2 linked regions of the Oryzias latipes genome follow. The protein of the gene in region 1 interacts with the protein of each later gene in a pairwise test. Links are inferred from orthologs where the notes say so. Each region holds a gene or a part of one and is shown on either strand. Other genes may lie near its edges.

Evidence for each region.
Region 2: the proteins of lamina-associated polypeptide 2-like (region 1) and lmnb2 interact in a two-hybrid assay, tested with the Homo sapiens proteins (2 studies listed by BioGRID, with this or other methods). The link is inferred for Oryzias latipes from reciprocal best matches to the Homo sapiens genes TMPO and LMNB2.

The regions. Positions count from the first base shown.
Region 1 is NC_019864.2:13,481,418-13,487,401, reverse strand, and holds the start of lamina-associated polypeptide 2-like, read right to left. Parts: upstream 4,058-5,984; 5' UTR 3,651-4,057; coding exon 3,417-3,650; intron 3,303-3,416; coding exon 3,185-3,302; intron 2,360-3,184; coding exon 2,207-2,359; intron 2,114-2,206; coding exon 2,004-2,113; intron 1,926-2,003; coding exon 1,825-1,925; intron 1,452-1,824; coding exon 1,067-1,451; 3' UTR 1-1,066. UniProt on the Homo sapiens protein: May help direct the assembly of the nuclear lamina and thereby help maintain the structural organization of the nuclear envelope. Possible receptor for attachment of lamin filaments to the inner nuclear membrane.
Region 2 is NC_019862.2:5,408,460-5,414,226, reverse strand, and holds the start of lmnb2 (lamin-B2), read left to right. Parts: upstream 1-2,434; 5' UTR 2,435-3,379; coding exon 3,380-3,598; intron 3,599-5,036; coding exon 5,037-5,173; intron 5,174-5,245; coding exon 5,246-5,402; intron 5,403-5,589; coding exon 5,590-5,715; intron 5,716-5,767. UniProt on the Homo sapiens protein: Lamins are intermediate filament proteins that assemble into a filamentous meshwork, and which constitute the major components of the nuclear lamina, a fibrous layer on the nucleoplasmic side of the inner nuclear membrane.

The DNA of each region.
Region 1 (5,984 bases):
TGGAGCTTTTTAATGTCTGCACATACATGAAGTGGGCTATGTGGGTGCAGTGCAACCGCCAGTCCAATATGGAGGACCGAAGGATCAGAAATCTTACAAAAGATAAAAACTGAAAACCTAAATGAGAAGCACAGCAGATACCTAAACCCTAGCATACGTAAAAGCAAATAGGCAAATGTTATGAATGGAAATAAAGAAAACTATTATAAAAACACTGCAATTTTACTTTCCTTGTGGAATCTTTGTCAAATACATGACATAATACTTCATTTTTATTTTGCCATTAAAGATTTTATGTTGAGAAATTTATGTTTTTGACTTCTTAGTAAACTAAAATTACCTGTAGTTTGGGTCACGTTGTGCGAATATGAACAAATCAGCCACAAGAATAAAGAAGAAAAAAAAAGTTTAACATAATCTTTTTCATGCTGTGACCTGATTACAACATGCCCCTCCCCATCAACAAATCAGAACCTGAGCACCATAGACAGAAATGACCCACTACACTACAGCTACAAAGCAAAAGTGTATAGAACTCATACAGAACATGGGAGGGGCAGTGGGAGTAGAAATGCAGCGTTGTGCGAGAAAACAGGAACATGGGAGGGCACTAAGTGCTAACGAGTGTCCAGGCACTTCACCGTCAGAAAAACACCTAGCACAGAGCGCGAGATAAAAACTACAGTATGACTGTCAAAACTACCACCATGCATGGTTCGAGTGGCCTCTCCACACCGCACTCATTTTCTACGTGGAAGAGTTAAAACACACAAAGACACAAACGATTCACATATTAAAACCATTAAAATTAGTCTCTTTTGACTGCCACAGAACAGTGTTATCCAAAAGCTACTGCTGGAGTACACCTCCCTCTTGTGGTGGGAGGAACGCTTGAGTCTGGCAAGAAAAATAAAAAATTAAAAGAAAGTTCATTAATCCAATTACATTTTTGTCCTTTGTCCAAACTTGTAGGAAAAAGAAGAGGTCTGCAAAGTTTGCTGCTTAAGTTGTGGTGCTCTGAGGCAGGGAGGAGGATGTGGACACGACGACGAGCGGCTGAGGGTCTTTACTTGCCGGCGCCCTCTGTGGCACCGCTGCTGCCAATGCCCAGGTAGGTGGCGGCAGTCTCCACGGCGCCTTGGACTGGGACAATCACGCTGTCCAGGAGGCCTCTGAGGGTGCGAACCTGATCAGAATCCAGGTTCTGGTAGACGTAGTAGAGTGAACCCACCACCACGGCAAGGAGGAGGAGCTTGAGCAAAAGGGACAGAAAGCCTCGCCGGACCGGTGCTTTGCTTGAGGGAACGGAGGCGATGGGTCGGGAGACGGTCTCGGAGTATGTGCGGGTCTCAGTGCTGATGCTGCGCTGTACACGGGATTCATCCAGCCAGTACTCACTTGGTTTTAATGGTCGACCAGCTGCTCCTTTGATTGGGCGTCTGCAGGTTGCACTGAAGGACAAACAATATATATATATAAATTTTTTTAAATGGTAAATGGACCAGGAATGAACTTTTTCTTTAGTTTTTTAAAATGCTGTGAAATAACTGTGATAAAAACCCAGGGGAACAAAGGCCTCCATTGCAATCTATTAAAACAGATTTTTTCACACTAAAGGTTGTTTGATTAAGAAATTTTCATGACTGAAATGACTTCTCTCTCCTAATTATCTGCACGCGCCAACTTAGCTTGTCCGTGGACCATATTTTTATGATTAGAATTGAAGCAACATTTCCAAAAGAAGTATTAGCCACCTTCCAATATCTTTTCACTATGTGGTAACAACACCAAACATGATGACTTAAAAAACAAAAACAAGGTTACCTGATGCCTGTTGGAGTGCTTATCTCGTTGGCAAGGATGTCTTCAATCACATTCTTGCTGGTCTTTTTTGGGGTTTCTTCGTTTAAAATCTCCTCCACAACCTGCCAATGGATTGCAAATAAATTTATGCAAAACCTCACAACTCTTTTGGAGCGTGGAGAGAGAATAGTGGCTCTTACCTTTACTTGCCGCCTGCTGCTGGTCCTGCCGGTGACAGGAGTTTTTCCTCTGCTCCTCACAGGCTTCTCCACCACAGGGACCTGCTCTGGTTCAGGGGGAGCAGTCTCCTCTGCAGGAAAAAACAACCATAAAAAGGCAAAAAAACAAATGTGAAGCTTTCTGTCATAAAAGACCTGGACAGAAAGGTTAAGTTTGAGTGTACCGTCTTCTTTGTCACTGTACTGGTCGGAATTTGTGTTGCCATTCTGGCTACTGTCTGCCTTTGGGAGCGTTGTAACATCTGGAGCTTCACCCTCATCTGCAACCTCATCCCGAAGCTTCTGCAGCTTATCCTCATACACCTTACGGGTAGTAGCTGAGAAGACGAGCGTAAGTGGGAAAAAAACCCAATAAATATACTGTAATTTGACTGTTTCATGCTAGTTTACACATGTGAATCAAGACTACCTAGAGCTAAAGGTTCCGCTATATGCAGTCTCAGTTGCACAATGACCTATTAACACTGAAAATGTTTAAACGTGTAAACAAATTACTCCATGGAAATCGTGAGATCAACTCTAAATTTAAATGTTTCACATGCACATAGAAGTTATGAGAAATGTTTCTGAGAGATCTCAGCTATTATCAATTTAAAAAACAAAAAACGCAGAAGTTATGAGCAGCCTCAATAAAACACGCCTCACAAAGTTAAGTACTTGTGGATTTGTAAACCATGTCCAAAGATAAACAACTGAATGAAATAGTTTACAAAGTACTTGATTGTGTCAGAAAGCGTGCCAGAGTAAACTTGATTTTAGCGTTGCATTACACATACAAACGGCATGATTCAACACACACACAGTCACGCGCGCAGAGAGAGACACACACAGGATCCACGCCCGTTTTCTTTCATTACAGGTTTAGCTCAGATAGAACTTGCTTACAAATGGGCGTTGAAATCACGCAGATAACCAAAGAAAAAGTGATGCAGAAGAGCTAAAGACGTTTTTTTTAATCAACCTCAAAGCAAAGATGAATGACAACATTAATTTGTAAATAAAAATAAGTAATTTTTTATTTAAATTATAGACTTAGGTTTAATACAATTATTTTAAAATGTGTGGATTATTATTTTTAGGTGGTACATGATTATTTTGAAAAAACACCTTAGTCTTAAAGTTTTAAGACGCGCTAATCTCACCAAGAATGGGTCCTGGGTTCACGCCATACTTTGCCAGCTGCTGTTTCAAATCTTCATCTGTTAGCTCTGTCACCTCCACGTCCTCTAAGCGGGGTTTATCCGTCTTTTTTGTTGCTTTCTGCAAAGGAAAAAATAATATCGATGCATCGAGGGAAAAACTAGTTCAAACTCGAACCAAAATGACGGCTAAATCAATTTCAATCAAGCTAGGAAATCAATGATCAGAACTGACTTTTCCCGAGCGGCTTTTATTGGACACCACGGGAGTGGGTAACTCCTCGTCGCTGGAAAAAGTGTCTGCAGGCAGACTCTTCTTGTTGTTTTGTGCGGTCAGGTTCTTCTTATAGAGCTGAACGTACACTTCTTTTTTGTGGTCTCCGCTCGGCAGCGGCACATTGTTTGCTGCAAGCTCGCTTTTCAGTCTCTCTTTCGTGAGAACTGACGGATTTTCGTGAAATTCGGCCATGCTAACTTGCTTTTTTAGTTTCGTTTACTCCGTATGAAAACGTATCTAATTGCTGCTAACAGCTAATAGAAACTAGGTGGCTCAGTAAGCCGCAACAAACAACAACAGCCGGAACGTGAGCGAATTACGCTGTTGTCAAACAGAAAGTGGCGCCTATCCGCTGCCTCTTAGCTAGCAGCACGGAAGCCGTTTACCCAAATATTCGTGCAATTCCGCTCGTTAGCCCAAACCCCAAAATACGAAAAGATATGTTAGATTTTTTTGAAAAAATATCGATGCATTTACGGAGACTAAAGTCGGTGGAAAAAATCCCAAAGCGGCTGCAATTTGACTTGAATTAGCTTAGCTTAAAACCAGTCCACTTGCTTCTGTCTGTCGGCGGTCGCGACAGGGCAAGGAAGAAGTCAAGCCGTTATTGGTCGGAGGAGGCCAGTAAGCTCCACACTGATTGGACAGCTATGAATGGACCGCTGGCAGTTAGCCGCCACAAAGAAACTGGAGCGTTTTGCATAAATCCCGGCAATTAAACGCGCAGTATCTTCAGTTTTTGTAATTTTAAACGAACCAAACAAGACATCATAGTTTTAATTAAGCATTCTCGACGAAATAAAGTACAGTATTTCTATTTAATCACGCTTTAACGAAGATGTTCGCATGGAGGTTCCGTTTTAATCTAAATTTTGTGTATTTCGCCGAATTTAGAAAAATATTTTCAGGTCTTAATAAAAAATCTAAATATTATTGATATATGCAATGGCATTGAAGGTTTCATATTACATAATGTGGCAACGGTCAAGTTTGGAGCCGCAGACAGTTAATATGGCTTTGTGACAGCAGGGGGCAGCATAACCACATATTCTAATTAAACACATTCATAAAAACAAAGTTGCCTTTTTAAAACTGTGACGTAATAAAACGTGGTCACATCTTAAAGTATGTGGACATAATCACTCACTGACAGACTAATAAAACTAAACCTAAAAAGACACAAGAATTTTGCTGGAGGGGAAAGAATCTACCTTTGAAATTTCACAAATCTGGGGTTACAAAATTGCATTACAAAAAATAAAAACACTTTTTAGAAAAATGACTTATGTCAAAGAGCAGATGTTTGGCTATAATACAGATGAATTTATATGTCTTAAAGTAAACACATGATATTTGCATAAACACTACATCTCAGATGTAAAGCATGATTGGTAGAAAATAATTATACTTCTATAAATCCTTAATACCTTAAAGTCTCCATTAATCAGTTTTGAAGTAAACAAATAGTCCTGTATTATAATAATATCTTGAAGCAAACACCTAATAATAATATAAACACATTACATCAGCTGTCAATCATGATTGAAAGTAATCTGGGATTATTAATCTTCCATAAATCCTGTTTTCCAATCTGTAATTTCTCAATTTGAACATATATTTTTCTTAACTTGTAATTTTAGTAAAATAAACTATTAAATAAAACCAAATGGGAAAGGAGAGGAATTACTTTATCTGTCTATGATTTAGCAACCCACTAAACTCTGTTGTTGTTCTGTAGCAAAAAAATCGACAAAACAGGCTGAAAATTCAGAAACAGGGACCGATTTGGTCGTATTGATGGTGTCTGAGATGTTTCCCAGATTTTTTGAGACAACGTCAACACAAAGGTTCATCTTTTAGTCCTGCTCAGTACTGGCAGCTGAACTTGGAAAGCTTGACATACCCGCTGTCTTTTCCAGTTGCTCTCTAACAGTTCACTTCATGGTTTCCCAAAATGAGGATTTGTGTCTTTTTTCTAAATTTTTATGGATAAATCAGTGCCTTCTATGCTATGGGATGTCAAAATAAAAGAGCCATTTACTTTACCTATTGTTAAAACTGATTAATCCATTTAAGATGGTAATTCACATGAAATTATAATAATTGTAAACATTTTGCAGACTGACAGATTAATGCAAATGCATGAATTTAGAAGTTTATCCAATAAAGGCGTGACAGCCCTGGTCCCTCAAGCAAGCCCTCCCTCTCTGTCTGATCTGGTTTTCAGGATATGCAGGTGTTTTGGTTAAAACCCTTTCTTTTCTCTGGGGTCAGTGGTTAGAGGTGATACAATGCAGCTCCCCAATCTCTTTCAGTCACTCTCTGCATCAGCCTTAAACCACACTAGTATGCTGCACTCCAAGTATGGTTAATCTTTTCCATGGTGCGTATGCCAATGGAGTGTGAGCGTAAAACATTTTAAGCCCTTGAGAAACACCTCTTAAGCTTTCTTTGTATGCAATTTACACAGAAAATACAACCCAAGCCAACGATCATAGAAAGTGCCTTTTAAGCATAACAGTCGTG
Region 2 (5,767 bases), on another chromosome or scaffold:
AAAATTTTGATTCAAAGCCAAAGGTTTTCAAGGCATTAAACAAAAAGGCGTGTTCTAATGAGTCGAAGGCCTTAAAAAAATCCAAAAAAAGGATAAGACTTTCCTGAGGAATAATTTGATTGTAATCTATTATATCTAAGATTAAGCGAGTGTGGTGGTGAATATGTCTCCCCTTAATAAATGCTGATTGTGATTCGTCTATGATCTGAGATATTCCTGATTTCAATCTGTTAGCATAGATATGTGCTAGTATTTTATAGTCACAACAAAGAAGTGTGATTGGTCTCCAATTATCAATTAATAACACATCTTTGCCCGGTTTGGGTAAAAGGGAAATAATGCCTCTTTTCATTGTAGGTGACAACATCTGTTCGTCGATGCATTCATTAAATGCCTCAAACAACATTTCTCTGATGTCAGTCCAAAAGTGTTTGTAGAACTCAGCTGTAATTCCATCAGGTCCAGGTGATTTACCACTGGCCATCTGGGAAACAGCTTTATCAAGCTCATCTATAGTAAGTTCAGATTCCATGAGATCTCTAAATGTCTTGTCTATTTTAGGGACTTTATCATAGATTAACCTTTCAAATAAAAGTGTGTTTTGATTTGAATATTGAGTAGTGTAAAGATTTTTATAGAAGTTGGTGATATAGTCCTTAATATTGTTTTGATCGTCTACTAGAGAGTTTTCTATCTGTAGCTTAGTGATTGTTTTTTTCCTTTGTCTACTTTTTTCCAAGTTAAAAAAGTAAGTTGAATTTTTTTCTCCATCTTCCATCCACTTTGCCTTTGAACGAATAAATGCTCCTTTGGCTTTTTCGGTATAGAGTTCATCTAATTTAGATTGCAATTTGTTAATTTCAATGACATTTTCCTCACTCAGTTGAGTTAAATTACACAAAGTGTTTAATTTTGAAATTATTTCAGTCTGTTCTTGTCTTTTTTTCCTAGCCAAAATTTTTCCTTCTACAATTGCAATTTTTCTAATATTAAATTTCAACCACTCCCATCTATTAATAGGAGACAGGTATTGTATTTCTTTTATTTCAGGAATAAGTGATTTGATTTTTTTACAAAAGTTTTTGTTATTTAAAAGGCTATTATTGAATTTCCAGTGGGATGTTCCATTTTTTGGTTGATTTTTTTCAGGGGAAAGAGCCAAAGTGATAGCACAGTGGTCAGTGAGAGGAGAGTGGGAGATATTACAATTCAAGGTTGAAGATGTTAGATTACTTGTTACTAACCAGTAATCTATCCTTGAGCGTTGAGAGTGTTGAGAGTTATTCCAGGTGTATTGAAGCTTATTTGGATTTTGTCTACGCCAAATGTCGATAAGGTCGAGAGAGTTAGAAAATTCCGAAATAATTTTATTGAAATGAGGAGAGTTGTGTTGAGTTGGATATCTGTCTTGGTTTTCATCTGGTACTACGTTAAAATCACCTGCAACAATAATCTTGTCAGTTGCATACATCTGTTTCCAGTTGATTATCTTGTGATTTATGTTTGTGAGGAATTTCTGATTTTTTGTCCTATTATTGAAACCATAAATGTTAACAAGAATATATTTAGTGTCGTCCACCTCAATGTTAACCATTAGCCAATGACCTTCTGTGTCACTTTTATGATCAACAATTTTACCATCAAAATTATGTAAGAAAATTGCCACTCCTGCTGAACGAGGACTTCCATGAGATAAATAAATGTTTCCACTGCCCCACTGAGATTTCCAAAAATCAAAATCTTCTTCACTACTGTGTGTCTCTTGAAAGAAAAAACAGTTCACGTTAACTTGTGCCTTACAGTAAAGAAAAATTGCCTTGCGCTTTGTTACATTCTTAAAACCATGAACATTTAAAGACAACAAAGAAAGAACCATAAAGAATAGCTAGAAAGCAATTAACTCCATAAAGGGCTATAATGCAATTTCACATTTTTCTAATCGGTTTTCTCAAAGCTGTAATAACATTTAACACTATAACATACCAGCTTTGGATTTATTTTCTCTCTTCTTCTTCAGGAAGATGTCTTTGTCCATTCAGTCTAGATGAAGGAGTATTGGTTTCAAGCAGTGACCTGATGACCATCGATGACCGCGTATCCGTCCTTTAAAAAGGCCTTGAGTCCTCTCTTCCTCGCCTCCTCCACTCTCGGCCAAAGACGCTGACGAGTCTCCCTGTCTTCTTTGCAAAAGTCTTCTTTGAAGCGAACATTTAGATCTTTGCAGATTTTTGCATTTTTTGACATTCTCCAGACTTGGTCTCGAACCACTCACATTCCAAACTGGATGATAATCTGTCTTGGTTGGTTATTTTTTCCTTTCTGTCCCAGCCGATGTACTGTGTCCACTGAGTGTCGTAGTTCCTCAACGTTGACCGACGTCACTTTGGAAAGGATCTTGAGAGTTTCATCTCGTGTGATTTCCCCTTCTTTCTCAGAAAGGCCAATAAGTCGCAAAGACCATCTTCTTTTATATCTTGCATGTTCCAGACACATTTCACGGAGAGAAGCATTTTCTTTTTGCATAGACACCATCTGCAGTTTGAGGCGGTTCACATCTTCCACAACACTTTTAACAGCAGCTGTATTTGTATCAACAGATTCTTTAACTTGTTTAACTGCATCTGTGATCTCTTGCAGTTGAAACTCATATCCTTTCAGATATTCGCTTTGAGTGTCAAACTTGGTTGTCAGGGTTTGAATCGCGTTAAAGAGGACACTGTTGGATATTTCCTCCTTGCGTTCTTGTGGAGCATTCTTTTTAATCTTTTTAGGGTTTGGGCTTTTTACCGGTGTGTGGTGTCTGTTGACTCTCGTTTGATCTTGTGAGATGTCTTCCTGTTCCTCCATCCATTCAACTTCTCCCTCGCTGCACGTCTGTCCTGAAGCCACTAGATGGTACTCATGGTCTTTGCTAGTGTTAGCCATTTCTTCACGTCGAAGTTTGAAAAATATAACGAAAACAGTGGTAAACAAACCTCTTTCAAGCTGAATCGGTTTGAGAGTTCTTTGCTGGTATTTTCTTTAGCTTTGGTTGAACTTGTCATATAGAAAGAGTTATTATTTCAGGTAAAGCGTCGGAGCCCCGAAAAAAGTAACCGCTTATTCCGCCATCTTGGTAACACCCCAGTATTTTTCTTCTCTGCATCCTCGCTTGGACATTTGTCCAGCCTGGTGAACTTCCGGAGGACGTGGAACGCGCCTTCCCTCCCCTTCCCATCATCCTTTGCAGCGCGGACGGAAGCCGTCTTTTGGCGCGGTGTCGTCCATCTTGCGGTCCATTTCGTGCTAGGGTCCCCTTGATTCCGCCGCTCTCGTGTCGAGATCCCTCCGCTGGTTCGGCAGACGGGTCCAGGTTCGGTGAAGCAGACGCAGCTCGGTTATGGCGGCGGTTAGCATGACTCCCAGCCGAGATACGGGTCGGTCGGCGGCCTCCACGCCGCTTTCGCCGACCCGTATCTCCCGGCTGCAGGAGAAGCAGGACCTGCAGCAGCTCAACGACCGGCTGGCCGTCTACATCGAGCGGGTGCGGGCGCTGGAGCTTGAGAATGACCGGCTGATGGTGAAGGTGTCTGAGAAGGAGGAGGTGACCACGAGGGAGGTGAGTACCGGGCACGTGCAGTGTGTGCGCGCGCCCCCGCCAGCGCTAGTTTTGTGTGTTTTGGGGTAAGTGGGGGGTGTGTGATCAGTCTTTGTTTCTGTTCTGTTCGCGCGCGCGCGCGCGCGCGTGTTTGAGTAAGTCCAACCTTCAGTCCGTGTGAAAAATCCAGGTCTGGTTTTTGGGTGTGACCCACTTTTCCAGCTCTGCTGTTTGAACGCTTTCCCCCCCTTTTATAACCAAAGTGGCGCCGCTTCTGCGGGACATAGTCAAGCTTTCCAATAGTTCAGAAATGATCAACCAAACCATTATCATACTTTGTTTTTAATAAATCCTAAATTTAAAAAAGTGCTTTTCTGTTTGTTTCTACTTTATTTTGAAAGGAAAAAATTTTTAAATTGTAAAAATCAAACTTTTTGAAACTTTTTGGATCAGATTATAATAATTCTTAAAAACTTGTAAAAGTTTGTAAAAAAAATTCAAAGAACAGGATCTGGATTAGTTCTTGGACCTGGAACAGGGGTCAGAGCCGCATGTGACTCTGATTCCCTCCATTCAATGCGACTCTGGTATTGGTAAAAAATGCTCATGAGTGATAAATAATAGGCTAGGCTAGTTAAGTAAATTTATCATTCATTTTTAAATTTGTTTTAAATACAAATAACATTGTTTTCATGTTCAACCACTGCTGACACATTAAACTTCTAAATCAGGAGGCATTGGGAGCTTTAACATTCCTCTAAAATGCACACATGTTTAGGTGAAATGATGGGAAAAGGTTTGATCTTTTGTCACAGGGGTTTCTTATTAAAATAAGTTTAAAAGCATATTCTTTTATGCATTGTAGCTGTTCAGAGGCCAAATTCTTAGTGTAGTAGCAAATCTACTGAATGTGGATCTTATTAGAAACAGGATGTATTTTATTTTGAAAGGAACTTGAATGTGCTGCTGTCAATATAAGTAATAAAAATACAACATAAAATGATAAAATTACTGCAATAAATAAAAAGCTGTTTAAATGGCCACAAAGACGTAAATAAAGTTACATTTTATGAATGTTGAGATGGGACTTTGGTTCTCGCTGGGTTCTGGTCTGGAAGAAGCTGGGGCAATTGACTCCTTTAGTGTTGAAGGTTGCAGACTCCTGTGCCAGAAGGATCTTGAACGTTCCTCATTTACATGAACTAGGTTTCATCTTAATCCACGTGAAGCAGTTTTTCTTATTGACAGTTTGGAAACAGAAACTTTTTGTTAGGGGCAATTGTCACAAAATGTGATGAGGTCTAGCTGCTTTACAGCCTCAGAGGTCTTGTTTTTGCCCTGGTTGAAGTGCCCCTGTCTGCTGGTCTTGAGTTTTCTTGGTGAGGATGTGAGCTTAGAGAGCTCGGGGTGGTGTGTGCTCCTGTGTGGATTCAGCTGCTTCATCTTCTCTGTGCTGTAGGTGACGGGCCTGAAGGCGCTGTACGAGGCGGAGCTGGCTGACTTACGCCGGGTTTTGGATGAAACCGCCAAAGAGAGGGCTCGGCTCCAAATCGACCTGGGGAAGGCTCAGGCGGACCTGGAGGAGGCCACGCGCAGGTGAGGACCTCCCTTAGACCAAATGTTGCCCAAAGATATCAACGTTAACGAGGGGTCTTCTTCCTCCTGCAGCGCCAAGAAGAAGGAGGCTGACCTGGCTGCCGCCGTGTCCCGGGCCAACAGTCTGGAAGGTCAGCTGCACAAAAGCGAGGCTGCTCTAAGCACCGCCCTGAGCCAGAGCGCCGCGCTGACCTCAGAGCTCGGCGAGGTCAAGAGCCTGTTGGCCAAGGTGGGCACTGGATGGGTTTCTGTCTACGAGTCTGAGCTGCTGCTCGCTGTGCCGTCTCTTTTACCTTCCTATAATTGCCCCTCTCCCTTCTGACCGGAGGTTTCTGGGAAAATGTGCCCTTCTTCAGTAGTAGATTTTAGAATTTTCAGTTTATTTCTGATGGGGGGGGGGTTTGTCACCTGGGCAGGCGGAGGATGGCCATGCCGTTGCTAAGCGCCAGCTGGAGGCGGAGACTCTGATGCGTGTGGACCTGGAGAACCGCTGTCAGTCTCTGAGTGAGGATCTGGACTTCAGGAGGAACATGTTCGATGAGGTAAGTCTTCACTCGTCCCACAGCAGCTGCCCAGCTAGCATCATAGAGTAAT